Linked DNA regions of Rattus norvegicus. The protein of the gene in region 2 interacts with the protein of the main gene of each other region in a pairwise test. Links are inferred from orthologs where the notes say so. Each region holds a gene or a part of one and is shown on either strand. Other genes may lie near its edges.

Region 1 (5,445 bases), on a different chromosome or scaffold from region 2:
TTCAGGTCCAAGGGCTTTCCATGTTTTATGCCTGCACTGCACATGTATCCTTCCTCAACACTGGACAAGAACTTTGCAGGTCGAGTGTCAAGGCCCTCCTGTGCCACATCCTAGACACACCACAACCCTTGAAGAGTTACTCGTCTGCGAGCCTTCGCTTCGCATCTATCAAAGGGTACTGCGAAAGTCACGGTACATAAAGAAGCCAACCACATTCATGCCTGACAGAAAGACACCAAAGGCACGGTTAGTACTATCGCACAGGCTATCTCGCTGTTCCCAGGAGTGGCGCTCCCTATTTAACTGTTAGCTTGCCGAGAACAAGGGTTCCAGCCTAAGGCTTACTAAAACGTGTCAAATGAACAAAGGACTCGCCGAGAGAACCAACGAGCGGGTGAACAGTACTACACACCTCTGCTCAACCAACCTGGCTTCCCGCAGCCCATGTTTTGGCAGCCCTGGCACAACTCTGCCTGGAGCCCTCACCATGTGTCCTCCCAGCTGGAGTCCAGCCATGTGGCACAGGACAGTGCGCTGGTTCTTCCGCTGAGGCTTGGTCTCCAGCGTCATGGCCACCACCTCGCTACCTGTACCTATCACTTGTACCTGGTGGGCAAGGTTGGGGGAGGGCAATTGGATTGACAGCCAAGACCTAGGGCCTTTCCCCCTGCAGGTCAAGGCCCTGCCCTGCTGGCCTCCCTGTCCCCTACAGCTGCTGACTTTTACCTGATAGATAAGGGAGCCATTTCCTAGCAGTATGAAGCTGGCTGAGCCAGCAGCACCCGTCTGGACTGGGATCAAGGCATCAGCCCCACAGAGGACGCTTTGAAGGACTGCAGGGGACAAGACAGGTGGCAACAGGTTTGCCCACACCCAGGTCCCCAAGAACTCTCTCGTATCTATTTGGCCTCTTCTTTAGCACATGTTCGTGCCTCTGAGTTACTTGTACCACAGTGCCAGGCCCCGCCCTTCCTCACCATCACAGCTCTGCCTGGTCGTGATATACCCGCTGATGCGTAGCTCTGGCCCACCCATCTTCTCTAGGACCATCTGCAGCTCCCCCAGCACCAACCAGTCCATCTCTTGGTCTGTAAGGCTGGGCAGCACCTCAGCAAAACCTGGCTCCTGTGAGCAGAGCAGAATGTGGTGGGCAACAGCAAGAGGTCAGAGGAAGTAGCAACGAGATGCAGGCCTTCCCTTACCTGAGCTGAGGCATTGGCCTGGAGCTCTCGAAGTAGCTGTCCCTGGTGGAGAATCTGAAGCTTCAAGGGGACGTGAGCTAGTCCTGCAAGTGCCGCTTGTGTGAGCATTTCTGAGAGGTGAGCACCCTCCCTAACACCCTCATGTACGTACATCTTCCCCATTACTCACCTCCCAGCAGACCCCGGAAGAGCAGCAAAAAATGTAAGGCATCTTCTGTGTCACTGAGAGTGAGCAGGGCTATGCCCCCGACACCCCGCTGCAGTGGGTCCTCCAGGGTCAGGATGGCACTGAAGGTCTCTGGGGAGTGGAGGACCATGACAGCCATGAGAAATCCTCTCTTCAGTCCACCGACCCCTGGGCTATTGAAGGTGCAGCTCTTGACATCTAAGAACTGCTCACTCCCCCCCCCTACCTGCAGTGAGAGCACCCTGCCAAATGAGAGGCCCCCAGACTTCTTCTGAAGGGTGAGTGGGTGTCACAAGGGCAACACGCAGCTGCTCTGCCCTCAGGAGCCTCACAGACAGCCGAGGCACTGCCCGCCACACCCCACAGACCTAGAGAGAAGAGGGAAGAAAGTCTACCGTAAGTATGCAGAACAAGCCAGCTAAAAGACCCAGGCCTAATGAGGAAGGAGTATGGAAGGGGGACCCCAGACCCTCTAAGAAGGACCCAGGAGCCTTAATGTTAAGTCCTGGCTTACCACTTACTAGCCAATGACCTTGAACAAATCACATTCTGCTATTCTGAGCCTCAGTTCCCTCCTCTGTAAAATGGGCATCATAATGTCAGGGCCTTTCTCCCACTGGGCTGTTGTGAGAACCAAAGGAGGCAATGCAAAGCATGCTCTCGGCAAGTGCCCGTTTTGGATAAGCACTCTTAAATGGCATCATCTCACCAGGCCATCTTGGGTGGGGGCAGCAGGGTGTTCAAACAGGATGTTGCCTGTGGGGTCTGTGAACCGAACCCTGCTGGGACGGTCCAGCCTGTGAAGAGAGGTCCAGTGAGACTGGATCTATAACCTACAGGCTCCTCTTTCTTGCCCCCTTTACAACTCCTGGTCTTTCCCCTTTCCCTTGTCTCACCGCTGGTAGGAGATAGAGAAGCGTAAACTTGAGCGCAGCAAAGAGACTCGAGCACGAGCTACCGCCTGCGTCCTCGGTCCAGTCAGCAACGCCACAAAGTCTTCGAGAAGAAAAGATTGTCCTGAGCACTGTCAGCCTTGCTGGGAACTCAAATTTCATCAGGCCCACCTCCGTCCCAGCCTACCCGTGTGGCCATCACCACGTGTCCGCTCCCCAGTGCCGGGTTCCCCTCGATCGCTATAACTGCGATGCTCTGGGTCCCTTGGATACTCGAAGACCAGGCCAGCCGGCTGTGGATCTAGATTGCTGCGCTCTGCATCCGGGATAAGGAATGAGACCACCGGCTTCAGCAAGGTACAAGGAGGACCACTCCTCCTCCGCGATCCAAGCGGCACAGGACCTAGTGTTAGAGCCTTCCACCCTCCCTAACTCGGGGCACAGCGGCCTCACCCTGCGGGCAGGTCTGGCAGCAGTGTCCTGGCAGCTGGCGCGGCTGCCTGCAGGCCAGGGTGGGGCACTGAGGTTTGATGTTCTTGCAGCTGACCCTGCCAGGGCCCCTCCCACGGCGAGCCCACTGAGGCTGATGGCAGAGAACATAGGAAAATTAAGAGAATGCAACCATCAGACCCCAGGGTTAGACACTCTGCTGGAGTCGGTCGACTCTGCTATTTACAAGTTACATGGCCCTGGACAAGTTTCTTAACTCCTCTAGCGTTGGCGTCCCTGTCTGCAAAGTAGAGCTAATAATGCCATTTATCTAGCAAAGCTGTAACGGGAGGGGGAAAGTTGGCTAAAAGCCAGTCACATTGTGGGCGATCAATAACTGTCAACACCGCAGACTTGAAAGGGGTTTCCTCTGATTTGCGAACCAGCCTTCCCCAGAGCATCTCTGAGTCTACTACGGCATAGGACGCCAGCGTTCCGCTACCCTCTAGGGTAGGACGAGCAGCTGCGATATCCACTCACCGCTTCGCAGGCGCACAGCACACAGCGCATCACCCCAAAAGGCTCCCCCAGGTCCGGGTGCCACGTCTCGTCCAAGGCATAGACCTTCCCGCCGAAGGAGCAGCCTGCGGGGACGGGCTTGGCTGGCGGCCGCTGTCCGGTTGCTCCTGCCGTAATGCCTACTCCGGGCTCTGCCCACCAGGCCCTTGGTCCCCTGGCACCGCGCACCTCGCCGCCTCTGCTTTCCCCACCCACCCTCCCGCTGCGCGAAGCCACCTGCGCCCGGGGCCCTCTCCCTGTGGATGTAGACTTGCCCGAGCCAGACTCTCCCCTCCCGCGTCTCCCCCTGGCGCCCACCTACCTGCCGCTCCCCGGACAGGCAGTGGCTCCTTCTCGGAACGGATGGGCAGTGCGGGGGCCTCAGGGCCAGTGCCACCGGCCGGCCGCGAGCCGAGCAGCAGCAGCCCGAGGAGCAGCCGAGGGGCCGGCGGGGCCGGGAGGCTCGGCATGACGCGGAGCAGACAGCTGGGGAGGCGGGCGGGAGGAGGGAGCAGGAGAGGGAGTAGGGCCGGACCGGAGGCGGGCCGGCAAGAGGGGGCCGGGGCCAGGAGGGGGGCAGTGGCGAGGGGCTCGTCTCGCAGTCGCCTAGTCCGCTCCCGGCCGGGCGGGGCGGGAGAGAGCGGGCGGAGGGGCGCTGACCCGGGCCGTACGCCACTCTAGTGCCCTAGGCGCCGGCTCTGGCCCGTTTTATGCCCGCGCCAGGCGTCCCGGCCCGGGGCCTCCTCTTCAGCAAACGGGGCGCGGCGGCGGCTCCACAAGGAGCCCGGCTGAGCCCGGGGGGTCCGGCCCAGCAGCAGCGGCCGGATCGCGAGTGGGGGAGGGGGACAGGCTGGGACCCGGCAGGGGAGGAGGGAGGGACTGGAGGAGGGGGGAGCGGAGTGAGTAGGGGGAAGGGAGGAACCAGGGGGCGCAAAGAGGGGGAGGAGAGGCGGGCCTCGACACCCCCACACACACTCCTTGCGGCCACCCCTGGAGGTGGTGTCCATCCCAAGACCAGAGCCTCGGGCTAGTGAAGGGTAGAGGCTGAGCCTCGGGCCTGTACCAGTGGTGAGCCGGATGGGCCGCTGTAGGATGAGGGCTCGTCTTTGAAAAGGATACCGATCCTCCCCTACCTAGGACCCACAGCACCTCCTTCCTTTCACTCTGGCTGTATTCCTATTTCCCTTCTGAGGTCTCTCCTCTTCCTTCAGTTCCCAGGGTCAGGAACCTAGCTTGCGCTTCCCAGAATCAAGCAGTGCTTCCCCACGAGTGGACTCGTATTCCACCACCACCCCAACCTGTCCCCAAGTCCATCCAACTGTATCATCTATCACCTCTGACTGGTGGTTTTCCTTCATCTGAGGGAGGACCTTATTCCTCTCCAGGTCATTCCCCACCTCCTTCGTCCTGCTTTTCTAGACAAGCCTCCCCATCCTCTCCTACCCCCACCACTTCCCGCTATCCCAGCATCAGGCTTCCTAATCTTAGGAGGTATCTCTTATTCAACTGGAGAATTCTGGGATCTGGGCCATACTCCTTAATAGACAGTCCATCCTCAGAGGAGGCACGGGAGAAAGCCTGAGGAAGAACAAGGGAGAGAGGGCAGGGTCAGGCCCCAGGGTCCCAGAGGACAGACTGTGGGGAGACAGGGACTGAGGAGAAAGCACAGGAGCTAGAGCCAGGGCCAAAGGAAGAGAGAGAGGAGCCAGCAAAGAGGTATTTGTGGGGGAGGCTCGGCAGCTGTCTTTCCTAAGACAGGAACAGATGGGCCTGGTTATTTCTCTCATCACATGTATAATGGTAGGACTGGAAGGGGACCATTGAGCAATCAACGGCAGGCTTGCCCACAGAGCTGAGCTCTCCAGGTCCCTGTACCTCCAGGAGAAAGAAGGGTACCTAAGCCCAGTCAATCTATTTGTCTGTCTCTCATTTTGAAACAGGTTCTCATTATGTAGCCCTGGCTGGCCTGTAGCTCACTAGGTAGGCCAGGCTAGCCTCAAACTTCCTGAGATCCACCTGCCTCTGCCTCCCAAGTGCTGAGATTAAAGAGGTGCTCTGGGCTCAGTCTTAACCAAACGCATATCCCTTCACTCCCCAGGTCCCACATATCGTCCAAACCCTGTTTCCTGTAACATGATCATTCTCTCATATAGGCAATCCCTACATTGCCAGTTGG
Region 2 (5,773 bases):
ATTGTTAATTAACTATAATGGAAGTCTAAAGTCTATAAACCTCTGCTTCTCTACTGGTAAGCTTTCTGGATTTGTACAGGTCTGCTTTCATGTGGGTTTTCAGAGCAGAAATACTGGACAGTATTTTACATTGAAATTGTTGCAGTATTACTGTGGATAAAAGTGTAATGTTTACACATGACTTGGTTGTTTAACATTACTTTCTGTTGCTTATTAGAAATTAATGCAGTTATCACACATACACTGGTATTAGATTCAGGTGTATAGATACTTGTTTCCAATACTGCCATAGATTAAGGCCCTGTCTATAGTGCCAACGATAAATACATAGTGATTATAAAATGCTTAAATAAATAAATAGTTGCTACTATGCATGATTTAATTTTTATATAATATAGTCTCAGATTGTCCAATATAATTTATTGAACATTAATTAATTATGAAGTGATGCAATAGCCAACTGTGCCAAGGCTCATATATTGATAACAGAACAGGATGGTAGCTGTTTTTCTGTTACTTTGATGTCTCGTAAGTCAAACTGTTTTCACAATACTATGAAATGATTTGACCTTGAATTGAATGTTTGCTGTATAAATTGGAATAGGACCAAGAATGGCTTGGAGTTAAGCATACCTGTGATCTAATTGATTTTAACTCAGAGTCTGAGGACATAGATTTGATCTTCAATAGTGTACCAAGAAAATTGATGCTTGACTTCGGTAGTCTATCAATGGGAACATTCATTCTCAGTCAACCCCAGTGACATTATCCTTCCTATTGATTATATTTCCCATCTTTGTAACGTATTAATACACTGGGTGGTTGGCACAAATGTTTATTCTCTTTACTTGTTTTGGTGTTTAAACGAGTTTCACCATGCTAAAACAAGCTTGGCGTTGCTGTGTGCTTACTTGCCCCTGGTAAAGGTGATGAAAACCACTGCTAGTCAGTATTAAGACCATTATATTAAATAACGTTGAATTAAGACCGTTATATTAAATAGTAAAACAAATTGGGAAGAGCTTGGCATCTCACTTTCCCTGTTTCCCCACCCAAAAATAACTTGTGCCTGAACAAAAATTCCTTCGTGTGCGCAAATAATCTTTAGGGCATTGGTTCAGCTCAGAAGTAGGTCAGTTTCCCCCTTGCAGAAAGAAAACAGGGAATGGGGCTTCTGGTCCTTCCTGAGGTAACTACCAACCTGCAGAAGCAAATGGAGCATTTGTGCTCATGAAGCCCAATCTGAGGAAACCCAGCGGATTCTAATGCCTTCTTAGGAACCTTCTCAGTGTCTTAGGATTTCACGCACATTCAGCAATAACCGCTAAACAAAATGACAGTGTGGTAACATTCTTAGACATAACTAATCATGATGGAGCATTAAAAGTTCACCCTGGACCTAGAAAATCGCAGGTTCAACGCGGCTGGGAAGGAAGCAGTCAGCCCACACTGGGGTCAAGAAAAGTTTCTATCATCTTTCAACCCCTTACAAAATACACAGCCCTTACTGTCCTACACTGCAAATGCGATTTTTTTTCAATTCTTCAAACTAATGCCTCAAATTGTATGTTCTAACTTTCAAGTCGCTAACACAGAAAATTAAATAAATGCAAACACTGTGCTAGTTAAGTGATGTCTTCCAAAATCTGTATCCAGGTTGCCTTGTAACTACAGGGAAGATTCAATGGAAGAAAGAAAGAACAGAAAGAAAGAAGGGAAAACGGAAAGAGGAAAGATAGGTAGGAAGGAAAGAAGAAAGGAAGAAAGTAAACATCTTTACAATGAGGAATATAGTTAAGGGCTTTGTTGTGCTTCCTGGAAATTTTCAGTTTTACTGGGCTGCCGGGATGTACTGGCTATTGAACTTTCAGGCCCCTGAATTCTTCTGGGAGGCTCCCCTTTTGTTGGGCTGCTCAGGTTACCCACACTTTCTCTGTATCTTCTTCCAGCGCTGTCAGAGCTGTTGTCTGTCAGCTCTCTTCGCTGCACCTCCAAGCAGTACTCAATTGGTGAAGGCTTTTATTTTCCACTCTTGAAATTCAAAAGTTTTGTTTCCTTTAGTTGGCTGATTGATTTTTTTTTGCTTGTTTTGTTTTATCCTATGTTAGCACCACATGAGTGTAATCACTATAAGAATACCCTTTCGTCAAGCCCTTATCTATTTATTCGCAATTTTCAGATGTATTCCTTAAACACTTCTAGATTACTGGATAATGTCTTTTTCGCCAAATGAATAGAATGCTTTTTAAATATCATTTTAAGTAAATGCTATTTAAGGAACTCTGAAAATAAAATGTAAATAAAAAGTTTTGGGTTTCTTTTTCTTTCTTTTTTTTTCTTTTTTCTTTTCTATTTTTGCGTATTTTGTCAAATCCAGTTAAAGTTCAAGATATTGTGCAATAATGTGGAAACCAAGCTAATGATAGGAAAAGTCTAGCTGTTCAGAGTTGGGAATTGGAAAGAAAAAGTCAAAGAGAACCGCATGCACGCACACACAGAGACATGCACGCACGCCCAGAGGATGCAGCATCCCAAAGAGCACACCCCGCCCAACCAGTGGATGGACCGCCACGCTCCTTAACCGATTTCGCATAGTGTCACTTGCTCTTTCTTCAACGCTTCTGGAAAACTGATTTGCGATCTTGGGGGGCTTTGAACGGCTGGATGTAGATATATTAACTTCAGTGAAACACGTGCTCCTGAATTACAGGGCCGACCCTGCATAGATGAATTCGGCCACCAGAGAGAGGAAACGCTAGCTGCTTCTTAGTTTGTCTTTCTACAAGAACCATCCCTACCTCCCCTGCATCTTCCTAGCCCAGAGCGCACTCTCCCCAGGATTGTTTTGCCGACACTCACCTGAACTGTCGCTTTTTCTTTTGCTGCCACTTCTCTTCTCCACTTCTGCGGGTGACAGCGCTTGACGGCCATAATCCCCTGGTGCGCACGCGGCTCCGGTCGGGGTGCTGGAGCCCAGGCTAGAAGAGTTGGAGCACAGGACCGGAGGGCTGCTCCCCAGCTCCGGGGGCCCTCCGGAATCAGGCTGCAGGCAAAGGCTGTGCCGGGCCGCGCTTGGCGGGGAGGACATCTGCGGGAGGTGCCAGTTGCTTTGCAGAGCCTGGTGCTGCTGCTGCTGGTGGTGGTGATGGTGGTGGTGGTGGTGGTGGTGGTGCCCCCTGTGATGCTGGCTGGCAAACATGCCCTCCTCATTGGGGTATCCCGCGATTATGCAAGACGAGGAAGATGTGGAGAGTTCGGGGTAGGACATGTGGTCAGATCTTCCATGGAGGGCCAGAGAAGACTGCGAGAAGGGGTGCAAGCCTTGCGCTGTGGCGTGGGGGCTGCGCAGGCAGCCAAAGAGGGGGTGTTCCATGGCATGCAAGTCTCAGCTTCCAAGCAGAAGACTTCACGAAGGTCCCAAAGTCCACCAAGCGCTGTCACTTTTCACTAGAAATCCTAGGACTCTCCCCCACTCACTCCTAATGTAAAAGCCGCGCGGGTTTGAGCAGAGCCCGCTAATCCCAGTCCTGAGCCGAGCGGCCAGTCTCCTGCACGTATAAACACTAGGACCTGGAGGAGCTTCCCTTGCAGCTGCTCAGATGTCAAGTGTGGGAGAGGTGGAAGCCAAAAGAAGGTGGTCCCAGAGAACTGCTTTCAGGGGGGGAAATGGCTCTGAGAGGTTATAAATAGAGTGTAATGTGAGCTGGGGGCTGGCTTAGGAGCCCAGCGCTGACCACATGCAAACTCCCTCCAAAACTCCCGCTCAGTCAGCGCCACCGTACTCTCTCATTTCCAGTTCCCAATTGCTGGCAGGACAGGAGCGGCTGCCCCACGCCCGTCGGGTCCTGGGAGCTTCCACAACAGTTAGTGGAGCGCCCAGAGCCTCAGTAGCTCAGGGACACCACCGCGATCTATCCCATAGATTCCCGTGGCCAGACACAGAAGCACTCGACTATGCTAAGCCAGCACCCCGTGTCTGTGCTCGCTCACTGTTCTTGGAACCTAGATTTCCCAGCCTTGGTGGGGGTTGCAGTCACCTACAGGCGCTCTCTGACTTTTCAGATCACAGAGAACTTATTAGAGTTCAAGAGAAGGAAAAGAGCGAAGCAGTCTAGCTTTTCAAACTCCAAGACCACTCGCACTTCCCGCATTCAGGGGCACATTATATTTTTCCCTTTTAGGTGTTTTAGGATAGATTGTTAGAAAACCCGCACCAGAGAGGAGGTTGTAGGGCTGAGCACCAAGGATAGCACAGAGCTACTCTGAGTGCGGAATGGAGAGGTAGCCAGTGGGGTGTGCCTTAAGCAGAGATGGATGCAAGTTCTGGTGCCTTGGTGGCACATATTTATGTGCCACTCCAAGTGGTGTCCCCCTTTCTTCTGTTTCTGACCGTGTCCTCCCAGCCCTATGTCTCTTTAACAACCCAGTTTGTTCAATTTCCTCAACACTCGCTCACTGGGAAAGTTTTCTGGGTCAGGAACAACCCTAAGAAACATCAATTGAGCAAGTATAAGTTGCTCCCAGCTTCACCCTTTCTAGTCTAACCCTACAGGAGCCAATTCACACACACACCACCCCGTCCCCCATCCGTTGAGAAATGAAATTTCTTTTTTTAGCTTACAGTGCTCCTCTTTGCATACATTCCGTTCGTTCCTTGCCACCTCTCTGTTTTAAGCAGATAGCAAACTCAACATTTCCTCAGAGTCGACCCTGCTATGATGGTTCATTTCCCCCAGGTTTACAGCCTGGGCTCCTGGAAGTGAACTACGAAACTTGCCCACTGGTGAATTTGTGAGAGCCGGGTTGCGGTTGACACAGCCTTTAGCTTGCTTGACCTGCCACAGAGTCTACTAGAGGTCCTCTCTTTAACCCACAACAAGCTTTGGAGAATGAGCTGCAGGAAAGTGGGTCCTGTCTGTGAAGTGTCTACAAGGAGGATGTCTGCAGTAGCCTACTGTGTTCAGGGCTTGGGCGTGCCACTACGGTTAACTGCCATATGTTTATTGTCTGGGTGACCAGAAGATGATGGTCAAGTCTTTGAAATTGCTAATGGGATTAATGAGTACAGCAACCTGAACTAGACATCTGGCTTAAATTAGGAAAAGGTATTGATTAATTTGGGAGGTGTGTCCCCAAGGCAGAGCCTTTCCCTCTGCCGGCCCTTCTGGAATCTTCAGTCTGTTGTCCTTTATTTTAAGAGGTTCTCCAGAAAAGGGACTTCCAAACAAACTTTAACAACCGTGTGAAAAGTCGAATTGTTTTTCACTACTTAGAGATGGGGTGGAGTGGGGGTTGATCAGGAGTTCCAAGATTTGTAAGCACTGCTTTCTTTAACGGAAATTGAGCCCTATTTTGAGGGAAATTAGTTTTGCAGACTTCGTTAGGGAATAAAAAAAGAACCTAAAACTTTTGTTCACCAGCTGCTCAACTTTTCAGTCTGAGAGTGAGCTGGAACCTGCAGCAAGTCTTTGACTAAGGTAAGGTTCTTTGCCTGTAATTTGGGAATCTAATCCTGACAAGGGGAGCTGAGCATTCTTGGGGTGCGGTCAGTGGCAGCCAAAACTTTAGGTACAGGCAGGTTCGTTTCCTGGACTTAAAGCTTGAGACTATTTCTTCTGCCACTGCCCACCCCCTTGGCTTTTTTAAGAATTACAAAAGAGAGTGGGAAACGTCTTCCTCATATAAGATTGCAAAGTATTTTGATTTTTCTGCTTTTTGTGACTTCAATATGCGCTGTGATAGTAAATGTAGAAGTATAAAGTACAATGATAAA

Evidence for each region. The genes of interacting proteins can lie anywhere in the genome.
Region 1: the proteins of Meox2 (region 2) and Chrd interact in binary tests that used the Homo sapiens proteins (3 or more experiments, as listed by UniProt). The two-hybrid records come from large-scale screens. The link is inferred for Rattus norvegicus from reciprocal best matches to the Homo sapiens genes MEOX2 and CHRD.

Annotation. Positions count from the first base shown.
Region 1 is NC_086029.1:93,681,341-93,686,785, forward strand, and holds the start of Chrd (chordin precursor), read right to left. Parts: upstream 3,761-5,445; 5' UTR 3,740-3,760; coding exon 3,592-3,739; intron 3,470-3,591; exon of another isoform or gene 3,422-3,469; coding exon of another isoform or gene 3,356-3,421; coding exon 3,252-3,355; intron 2,866-3,251; coding exon 2,736-2,865; intron 2,599-2,735; coding exon 2,470-2,598; intron 2,386-2,469; coding exon 2,286-2,385; intron 2,187-2,285; coding exon 2,099-2,186; intron 1,758-2,098; coding exon 1,616-1,757; intron 1,501-1,615; coding exon 1,372-1,500; intron 1,286-1,371; coding exon 1,203-1,285; intron 1,126-1,202; coding exon 978-1,125; intron 834-977; coding exon 727-833; intron 607-726; coding exon 487-606; coding exon of another isoform or gene 428-486; intron 1-427. UniProt on the Homo sapiens protein: Dorsalizing factor. Key developmental protein that dorsalizes early vertebrate embryonic tissues by binding to ventralizing TGF-beta family bone morphogenetic proteins (BMPs) and sequestering them in latent complexes.
Region 2 is NC_086024.1:59,581,817-59,587,589, reverse strand, and holds the start of Meox2 (homeobox protein MOX-2), read right to left. Parts: upstream 3,566-5,773; 5' UTR 3,374-3,565; coding exon 2,860-3,373; intron 1-2,859. UniProt on the Homo sapiens protein: Mesodermal transcription factor that plays a key role in somitogenesis and somitogenesis and limb muscle differentiation. Required during limb development for normal appendicular muscle formation and for the normal regulation of myogenic genes.